Linked DNA regions of Saccharomyces cerevisiae S288C. The protein of the gene in region 1 purifies or fractionates together with the protein of each later gene. This does not show direct contact. Each region holds a gene or a part of one and is shown on either strand. Other genes may lie near its edges. The genes, in order: OCT1 and YGL140C.

The links.
Region 2: the proteins of OCT1 (region 1) and YGL140C purify together in Saccharomyces cerevisiae (affinity purification with mass spectrometry, with the first as the bait; one large-scale study listed by BioGRID). This does not show direct contact.

What each region holds. Positions count from the first base shown.
Region 1 is NC_001143.9:188,598-193,315, reverse strand, and holds OCT1 (metalloendopeptidase), read left to right. Parts: upstream 1-1,873; coding exon 1,874-4,192; downstream 4,193-4,718. Other genes in the region: RCI50 (Rci50p), read left to right, coding at 246-1,637; APL2 (Apl2p), read left to right, coding at 4,676-4,718. UniProt on the Saccharomyces cerevisiae protein: Cleaves proteins, imported into the mitochondrion, to their mature size.
Region 2 is NC_001139.9:240,709-246,863, reverse strand, and holds YGL140C (uncharacterized protein), read left to right. Parts: upstream 1-1,851; coding exon 1,852-5,511; downstream 5,512-6,155. Other genes in the region: FLC3 (putative flavin adenine dinucleotide transporter), read right to left, coding at 1-1,148; ubiquitin-ubiquitin ligase HUL5, read right to left, coding at 5,779-6,155.

The DNA.
Region 1 (4,718 bases):
CATATTTATCTTGATGAGAAAACGATTGAGGAGATTTGTGTGTAATTTGGTTCTCGTAACAAATACCATTAAATAATCCTTGACTAGTAATACATACCAAACAAAGAACGATTTGCGGATACTCAGCCGCACGAAAATTTCTAAAATTGAACTAAATCCTTTAGGATATATAAAAGGGCACAAAGTGAGAACGTAAAAACAGCATTATAAAGATATTGTAATGAAGAAATTTATGCTCATTTAGTATGTGGAAATACCTTCATAGATCAGTCAAAAATGAAGGGACCGTAGAACGGCTCACTAACCTCAACTTATTTACCAATCACCGTTTCAAGTTTTATTCTACATTAAAGGAACAAAGTTTTTGGAGAATACCATTCAAAAGAAGGAGCAAATTACAGAAATGGGTGTTATCGACAGGCATCGTAAGTTTCATCGCTTTTAACATATGGTGGGTTTATTGGCCACATCATACTTTTCCCAAACCCGTTGCTAAAATATTAAGGAAGGGGTTACATTCAGAAATTAAGAAAGAAGGTGCGAACTACCAAAAAAGCCTTGAGTACTACCTCGAAGCTTTAGAAGAATGTAAAGCCGAAAACGTGGATCTACTTTCGGATGAATATACCGGTATTGAAATCAAAATCGGAGAAATGTATGAGAAATTACATATGTATAATGATGCTACAGCTTTATATGGAGACATGCTGAAAAAGTTCTATAATGAACTAAGCAAAACTACTGATAAGTCAACGAAGAGAAAATTCTTTTTGTTGAAAAGAGACCTTCAAATTTTGGTAAGGTTCAATGAAATAAATAAAGACTCTGAAACTAATGCAACGTTATTGATAATGCACCTTTTATTAGCTCAACGAGAATTTTTGGAGAACTCACCGGAGTTCAAAAATGTTCTTTCCAAATCAGAACTTTTAAACAACCAACAGCTTGACTGGAAGAATTTCAAGGGTCTACCATTTATTGGTAAATCCAAACCTGACTACCAAATGCATTTAAACTCTAAAAGAAAACAGGAGTTGAAGATAAAGGAACCTGAAAGCGAACAATGCGTTTTCATGAAAGAACTTCTGACTGCAAGAGATTTATATACTCGTTACTGTCTCAATCGGAGTAATCTTTCTGGGGCCTTGAATAGCAAAATAACAACACTAGAATGGATGTTACTAGCGGATAGTCCTCTGGACGACATCTTGCTTGCCCAGGCAGAGCTCGGGTCGATTTTTTATCTAAATTCAGAGAAGTTCGAAGGAAGTCTATACGCTATTGATAATGAACCGTACAAAAAATCAGAACCTTTAGAACTTATTCGGTCCAGGTTACAAGAAAACCAGAATTCCTGCTTACAGTACTCGGCTGACTGCTATAAAAGTATTATCAGCTTTGCCAATGAAAATCAATATCCAAAAGTTGCAATGGAAAGCGAAATGGATCAGAGAATACTTAAGGCATTATCCCTTGCTCACTACGGTATTGGTGTGATAAATTTGCATAAGGGACGCTTGAGGGCATCTAAGAAGGAACTTAAAAAGGCTATTCGTATTTCAGAGATGATTAGATTTAATGAACTCATTGAGGAAGCTCAACGTGAACTTAAAAAGGTTGATGGTACGCCTATATAAATCTTACATTTGTATATATATTCTTCTAAATTTTCATCAATATGTTGAAATGCCGAAAGATGTCGATTCCTCATTGGATATGGCGAATTTTACGTCACCGCCTCATGAACAAAAGTGAGAAAAATACATATATAGCGTCAAAATCAAAACAAATGATGAATTTACTTGCAAAGACTAAATGTGTAAGGGAATAGGTATCAGAACATTAAGTGAAGGCGCCGAAAGTAATATCAGTAATGCTTCGCACGATAATATTGAAAGCCGGGTCCAATGCCTCCATACCGTCACCTTCCCGCCAAAATAAGTTACTCAGGTTCTTCGCCACAGCCGGCGCAGTCTCTAGGACCAGTCCAGGAAGCATTAAGAAGATTTTCGACGACAATTCATATTGGAGAAATATTAATGGTCAGGATGCTAATAATAGCAAGATCTCACAATATCTTTTTAAAAAAAATAAAACCGGACTTTTCAAGAACCCTTATTTGACTTCTCCAGATGGTTTGCGTAAGTTTAGCCAGGTTTCTTTGCAGCAAGCACAAGAACTTCTCGACAAAATGAGGAATGATTTTAGCGAGAGTGGTAAATTAACCTATATTATGAACCTGGACAGATTAAGCGATACGCTATGTCGAGTTATTGATTTGTGCGAGTTTATTAGGTCAACACATCCAGATGATGCATTTGTTAGGGCAGCACAAGATTGCCATGAACAAATGTTTGAATTCATGAATGTCTTGAACACTGATGTTTCCTTATGTAACATACTAAAGTCGGTTTTAAACAATCCAGAAGTGTCTTCGAAGTTAAGCGCAGAAGAACTTAAAGTTGGTAAAATATTATTGGATGATTTTGAAAAGTCAGGAATCTATATGAATCCAGATGTTAGAGAAAAGTTTATCCAGTTATCTCAGGAAATCAGTTTAGTAGGTCAAGAATTCATCAACCATACAGACTATCCTGGTTCAAATTCTGTGAAGATACCATGTAAAGATCTGGATAATAGTAAAGTGAGTACATTTCTATTGAAGCAATTAAATAAAGATGTAAAAGGGCAAAATTATAAAGTACCTACATTTGGGTATGCAGCTTATGCATTATTAAAAAGTTGTGAAAATGAGATGGTAAGAAAAAAGTTGTGGACCGCTCTTCACAGTTGTTCTGACAAACAGGTTAAAAGATTGAGTCACTTAATCAAACTAAGGGCAATCTTGGCTAATTTAATGCACAAAACAAGTTACGCAGAGTATCAATTGGAAGGTAAAATGGCAAAGAATCCGAAAGATGTTCAAGATTTTATTTTGACGTTAATGAACAATACTATAGAGAAGACAGCAAATGAATTGAAATTTATAGCTGAACTCAAGGCCAAAGATCTTAAGAAGCCGTTGACTACAAACACGGACGAAATATTGAAGCTCGTGAGACCATGGGATAGGGATTACTATACTGGCAAATATTTCCAGCTCAACCCGTCAAACTCTCCCAATGCCAAAGAAATAAGCTATTATTTTACATTAGGAAATGTCATTCAGGGCTTGTCAGATTTGTTTCAGCAAATATATGGTATTAGATTAGAGCCAGCAATTACTGATGAGGGAGAAACATGGTCCCCAGACGTGAGAAGATTGAATGTGATATCTGAAGAGGAAGGAATCATCGGCATAATTTATTGTGATTTATTCGAACGAAATGGCAAGACTTCAAATCCGGCTCATTTCACAGTTTGTTGCTCTAGGCAAATATATCCCAGTGAAACTGATTTCTCAACCATCCAAGTCGGTGAGAATCCAGACGGTACCTACTTTCAATTACCTGTTATTTCTTTGGTGTGTAATTTTTCTCCAATACTAATCGCTTCTAAAAAAAGTCTTTGTTTTTTGCAGCTTAGTGAAGTTGAAACGCTCTTCCATGAAATGGGACATGCAATGCACTCAATGTTAGGGAGAACTCATATGCAAAACATAAGTGGTACAAGATGTGCTACTGATTTTGTAGAGTTACCAAGTATCCTGATGGAGCACTTCGCTAAGGATATACGAATTCTGACAAAGATTGGCAAACATTACGGGACTGGAGAAACAATTCAGGCTGATATGTTACAGCGCTTCATGAAAAGCACTAACTTCCTTCAAAATTGTGAAACATACTCTCAAGCAAAGATGGCTATGCTGGATCAATCATTTCATGATGAAAAAATCATTTCTGATATTGATAACTTTGACGTTGTGGAAAACTATCAAGCACTAGAACGACGTTTAAAGGTCCTAGTGGACGATCAGAGTAATTGGTGTGGAAGATTCGGCCATTTATTTGGATACGGGGCAACTTATTACAGCTACTTATTTGATAGGACGATAGCTTCTAAAATCTGGTACGCCCTTTTCGAGGATGATCCGTACAGTCGAAAAAATGGTGATAAATTTAAAAAGCATTTACTAAAATGGGGAGGGCTAAAAGACCCTTGGAAATGTATCGCTGATGTTTTAGAATGCCCCATGCTAGAGAAAGGCGGTAGCGATGCGATGGAATTTATAGCACAGTCTCACAAGTCTTAGAGAACAGAGTAGGTGCTTAATCGAGGCCATTATTTGCCAACGACGTTTATTCATAGCTGAAGAATTCTTTTCACCAAGAAAAAAAAATTGCATAATCTTATAAATACTAAGACCCATTATTTAAAAGGGTCTGAAAACCATCGATCATATTGCCTGAAAAACGAACATGCATATGTTAATTAACGCTTTACAAACAGAGCATAATTATTGTTATTCTTTTATATACTTCATGTCTTATTGTCACATCTACTGTTTTCGCGTACAGAATGATATTATGAGTTTCAAATCTTGTAGTAATATCAGAAAGAGCTCTTTTCAGTGAAGAAAGCCTACGATATAAAGAACACTTTCCCAATGACTAAGCGTTATCTGTTGTAGCTTTATTGTCATAATACACCAATTATCTGGGTACGAACTCACTTCCTGCAGCTTAGTTTTTTTTTTTGCTCAGCTTCCCACTGCACTTAAAAAACAGTTTCAACTATGCCACCATTGGATAAAAGAATCAAGAAGTTTCTAAAAGACT
Region 2 (6,155 bases), on another chromosome or scaffold:
ATATATCTTAAAAGAGCACCTTTTAAGATCATTCTCCATTGTTTCCTGAATTCCCAAAACCTTGCCTTTTGGATCCATCCTAACCGGGTGGCTAACTCCACACAGCATTTGAATACTATGATAAATCCAGCCAACACATATCCACATAAGACGAAGAAAGTAAAACCGGTACAAACGATGGACGTATTTTCGATTCCCATTTTATAGCCTAGCCTTTTGATTCCTCTAAAAATTAATGTATTTGCATTACCATACAAAACATTGGTAGCTCTTTTGATTAATGGGAGCTCCATCAAATATTGCCAACTTCTTTGAGCCAAAACAGACATAGATGTTGAAGTCAGATATAAGCTAGGCGTACCACCAGTGGATTGCACATACCACCGGAAAATCCTTTGCATGAATGAGATTCTAATTAACCCCATTGACCAAACCAAGTTTTCCGCCCAGGCGGCTGCAATAGGCGGAACTCGATGAACATGTTGCATGGCAACCACGACAACAGATTGGAAGTATAAGAAAAGTGACATTGTGTTGGCAGAAATATGTGAGGCTGCGGTAGAGTTCCCAAAAGTGGATAAGATGGCAGATAGTAAAAGACCAATTCCCGCTACCACTGCAGTTGCCCATTTTACACCAATCTGAGAAACTGTTTTACCGTTTGAGAAGTATATTTGGATACATGCTAGGTACTCGCTCACATTGTTGGTGATCTTGACCCTGGCATATGCGTCGATATCGGGGACTTGGTATGCAATACCAGGAATTTCATTTACGTACTCACTGGAGATGTATTCAATAGAGTCGATCTGAATATTACCTGGGTGAACCGGGCAAAACTGTTTCCAGTTGATTGAACAAAGATCGACATTTTTAGTAATGATCTTGAAACCATATGCGTAGACATCAATATCAGCAAAAATATATGAATCAATTTGAGTTGACATATCAAGATCATAATGTAATGACCTGTCGTCTGGATTGAAAACAACGTCAAAACTATTTGCTGACAGCTGCGAGTTTTCCATACATGTGACCAATGATGTGGCTACCAGCTTCCTTTTTGCCTCTGCAAGATTTACTTTACTGGCTAACAATATTATTAGTCCAATTAATGCCGATGATTTATAAACCTGAAGAAATCTCATGCCTGTGAGGGGTATACTTTTCTAGTCTCCACTATTTGTTGTTGTTGTTGTTGTTGTTGTTGTTGTTGTTGTTGAAATTTTTTTATTTATGGCCCGCTCGTAAATAAAAAGACCTTTCTTAGCTATACTTTGCAAAGAAGTTTTCTAGTACCCACCAATGTTGATTGGCACTCTATAACGAATGACGTCTTCGAATTGTTTTGTTGTCTTTTGAGCGTTGATCTTCTGGAAAGCGGATGAACAGAAGCGTTTTTGAGTTAATTTGATAGCGTCCGTAAGCTAGTAAATGGCACGGACAGCAACAGTATTCAGATATTCTTTTATCCCCAATCCCAACGAAGACTACCTTTTCATAGTCAACAGTTAAAGGAATCAACTATTTGAAGCTAAAGCGATGGGCCGCTGCTAGGGAAAAGGAAGCAACCATTACCCTCCTCATAAAATTGATAGGTCTTCAAAAGGCTGAGACTGATAAGAACTACCAGTTTGATGTCTAAAGAAAGAAAAGAGAAATCCAGGATCTACCTTCATCTCTATTAACACCTGCTATCGAGAGGTTATAATTGTGGTTGTGGCCTAACTACGTATCATACACTATTTTTACTTTATTCCTATCCTATCCTGGAGTTCGAAGAGAACATATTTTCAAGCGAGAAAATCTTCCTTATCCTTTGCATCAATTGCTTGACTTCATTATTTGTCCATGTCGCTTAAATCAAAGTTGACTAAGATTCAGAAGTTATGGCTGTATTATTTCCCCTGTGACAGAATCCTCGCGAAGAGAATATGTAAATCGACTGTTAATACTACGGTAGCTTTCATATTTTGCTTGATACCTAAGATAACTGCGCATTTGGGAGCAGCTCCTGCGATGCTGCCAATGATTTCTGTTATTGTTCACCCTGGAAGAAGGGTCGGGGGTACTATCCATGGTGCTATCTATTGCATAACTGGATTGATATTTGGCCTAGCTTACGCAATCTTCGGCCGGTTCCTTGCGCAGCGATGTTTAGGGAGTTCTTGGCATGAGCTAACAGAGGCACAGCAGCACGTATTGCACTATAAAAGATATGAAGCGGGATTAGCAATTTTGGCTGTTTTCGAAGTAATTATGCTTTTTTTTCATGGTTGGATGAGATCTGTATCACACTATTACTTTGGTATTGTTTTCCCACTTTTTGTCGTGGTTCATTTCGCATTTATGGATCCTTTGAATGAAACAGCAGGCACTATTGCTAAAGCTTATAGTACGCCTTTCTACCTGGGTATTGCAATGTCGATTTTCTGGAATCTTGTGTTGTTTCCTGAGTGGGGTACCACATATTTGGGTAATACGACTATTGATGCTATGAATGAGCTCCATAAGTCCATTGACTATTCGATAAATTTCTTCATTGCAGTTGACCCGCACAATAGTAGCCAGTTGTACAGTAGAGATCCTGTTTCGTTAGGCAAGCTATTGAAGATGAAGTCACTGATTTCTTCTAAAGTTAACAACTGTCGAGTAGTACTTCACGAGTGCATTTATGAGTTTACTTACGCTTATGTTTCGCCAACTAAACTAAAGCCAATCATATCTACTTTGGAAAATTTGACAGTCTTCATTAATGGATTAGTTAATACATGCCAATTAGAATTTATTTTATTGGCAAGACATGATAACAAGCTCAGGCCTGATGATGTCGCAGCTTTGACACTGCCAAAGAACAAAGAAATCAGCTTTGCAAATGCTGAGAAGTTGTTGAAAGTTATTGACAAGTTGCATCCAGTGATTTATAGTCTACACCGGACAATGAGTGAATGCATGTACATAGCAAAGTTGGTACTTGCTCATGCATTTGATGTGAAAGTTTCAAGGGTTCATTCCTGCTCAATGTTCAAAGATGGTAACTTCCCAACATTCAGTAATAACGCCAATAATCTGCCCAATGATGTTGACATCCAGAACAAGATCAATGACCTGAAGCAGGCGTTAGAAGAATGTAAAGCAAAATTCAAGTCAGAAATGTTAAGTTTTGATATTGATATTATGAGTCCTAGTGATGAAATGTTTTTGTTGTCTAGCTTTCTACTAAATTTTAGGCAAACTGCAGATTCAACTTTGGTAATTATGGAGTCCGTCAAGGACATTTTAGTCAAACGTCAAATACAAGAGAAGAAGGGCTGGCTGAGAGGCAAAAGACTTTGGTTTTTAGTGTTGACCAACTACGAGACATTTTCTATCTGGTTAAAAGGCGATAGGAACTCAGTGACTGAAAATGATACATTAAAGGGTACGTTCAATGGTAATACTAATGGTTTTGCTCATGACACAGTTATTAGAAGGCCTGATTATGAAGAGAATGAACTTTTATCTCAAAAAGTTTCATCGAATAAGAACATTGTAAAAGATGATGCATCGCTAGATCTGCCAATGACAAGTGAACCCAAAGGAAATTCATCTTCTACCTCTGACACTTCTTCGTCGCCATTAACGTTAACGAAAACAACTACGTTCGGAACTAATAGAACTTCCAGGAGGCAAGGCAGATTTTCTTTTATGTCCATGCTTATTTCAATTGATAAGTTTTGTGAAGTGTCACATCCTCACTTTAGATTTGGATTTCAGGTAGCCATTGCATTAATGCTGGCTTCATTTCCGATGTTTATTCCAAAGACAAGGCAGTGGTACATAGACTATCGTGGTACCTGGATTGGTTTCGTGTGCATACTTTGTTTGGAACCTTCCGTAGGAGGTACGTTCTGGGTCTTCTTTTTGCGTGCTGTGGGGGTTATTTTTGGAGCAGCCTGGGGTTATCTTTCCTATGTTGCTGCTGTCAACCAAACCAATCCATATTTGGAGACAGTCATCACAGTTTTTGGAGCCATTCCTGGGTTTTACTATTTATTAGGCACACCCTATGTGAAGGCTGCAATTATTGAAATTATTAGTATTTATATTGTTATGCTTGCAGCAATACTTCCCTCCCAAGATGATATATTGACTAGTTTCGCCAAGAGATGTTTAGCTGTCGGCTATGGTGGAGGGGTAGCATTAATAGTTCAAGTCTTTTTCTTTCCATTGAAGGCACGGGAACAATTAAATGAAGAGATTTCTTTTGTCTGTGGCTGTATATCGGAAATGGAACTTCTCTACGCCACCGGACTGGAAGGAGAGCAAGTCGCAAGTAGTATGAGTGAAGAGAAATACAAAAAAATCGAAAAGATATCAAAAAGTGCTAAAGAGGCGTTAGCCCGTGCTACGGCCTATAAAGGACTAACCAGACAAGAGCCGAGATTAAAGGGTGAATATACCGAGTTGGAAAATGTTTTCACTCAAGTTATATTTATTCAGAAGCAAATAATAGAGAGGATAGATACAATTTCCTTGCTGAGAAAGCAAAATGGAAGTGCGGTTATTGAAGAATTTAACAGTGTTGTATATCCATATCGACGCCAAATGGTTGGAAGTATTTCTTGCCTAATGAGAGCACTTCAAGAGGCATTTATAAATAAGACCCCGTTACCGCAATTTTTGCCCAGCGCAAGAATTGCACATAGAAGGCTGATTAATAAAGTGCGCCAAACTCTGCGAATAAGATATCCTGGGCAGATTTCAAATTTAAGTGATAAAGCAAGAAAGCCAAATGAAGGAGATTACGCTGACGGCAAGGATGAAGATGACGATGATAACGAAGGTTTGGTAATGAAAATGAATAGAAGGGGACAGGCCAACACAACAGCTAATCCTCATGAATATGTTTTAAAAGAAAAATTTTTAAGTTGGAACGCATCTAGTGCTGCATCGGAAGAAATAATTGAGTATATTGAAGAGCTGTTGAATTTAACTAAAATTCTGGTCGGTGTAAATGAGTTTAAATACGGGTTTTTATCGCGTCCACTTTACGAGGACTGGGCTGCAGAGGCAGTAACAGGATTTGATAATTTCATTAACGGGAAAAGCAATCCTATGAATACACGGCGCAATCGGACCCCATTTGATGGTACTTCCATCATTTCCGAAGGAAATGAAAGTTTACAAAGTACAAATTCTAATGAATCTCAAATTTCTCCTGATTCCACAAGAAGTTATGAGCCGGAATGTCCAGTGGCATACGAAAAAAATGATAATCCGGCAGCGTTGAATTTATTACGGATTGCTTCTCATAAAGCAGGCCAAAACGCGGATGGCTTACCAAAGACATTTAGAAATAGAGCATTTTCCATTACTTCTACCTCCGGCCAACTTTCAAGCTTAAGCAGACACAGCACCCTTGGTAATGCGGATCCTAATTATCTGAACGATGATGATGAAAGCTCTGATGATGATTTGCCATTAGCTTTGAAAATGGTGCTAAGTCACATGAAAGAAAAGAAGGACTAAGATATTGAAAAGTCCTAATGTAAGATAATTACCAATTTCATATTCATTGTCGATTTCACTTCGCTTAAAGAATTTTTACTGTTTGTTTTTTGTAAAGCCTTTCCAATAAAAAATAGAATGATAGATAAAGGTCATAACTAGAATGGTGGCGAACAAAGCAAAACTTAAATTATCTCTGCATACAAGCGTATAATTTCCTTATCTATAGTAATATATAAGAACTAGAAATCTGCCTATTAATTAATTACCTCCCTAATCTTCTGGGAATTATGATAAGTCAAACCTGGCGCCTGAGTTTATTGCATATAATAATTTCTCTCTCAAAATTGTTTTGTTTCTATAATCTGGCAATTTTAATAAATTAACACAGGTAGATGCCGTAGGCAGCCTGTATTTCTCTGTCCCTGCATTTCTGATACCAAATTTTGGATCTAATGCCTTGAAGCCTTGCAGAGGAGCTTGCGGAACGGACGTGACAAATTTCAAAAAATTCAATTTCTCTTCAAACTTAAACTCATTCAAAACCTCCCAAAAATCAACAATTGTCTGATCTTCTTCTTTATAACCCCCGTATTCTGTGTTAGATTTCAGATCGTCTAAATCGATATTATCTCTCTCACCTGATATTAACATTTGTAGTTCTA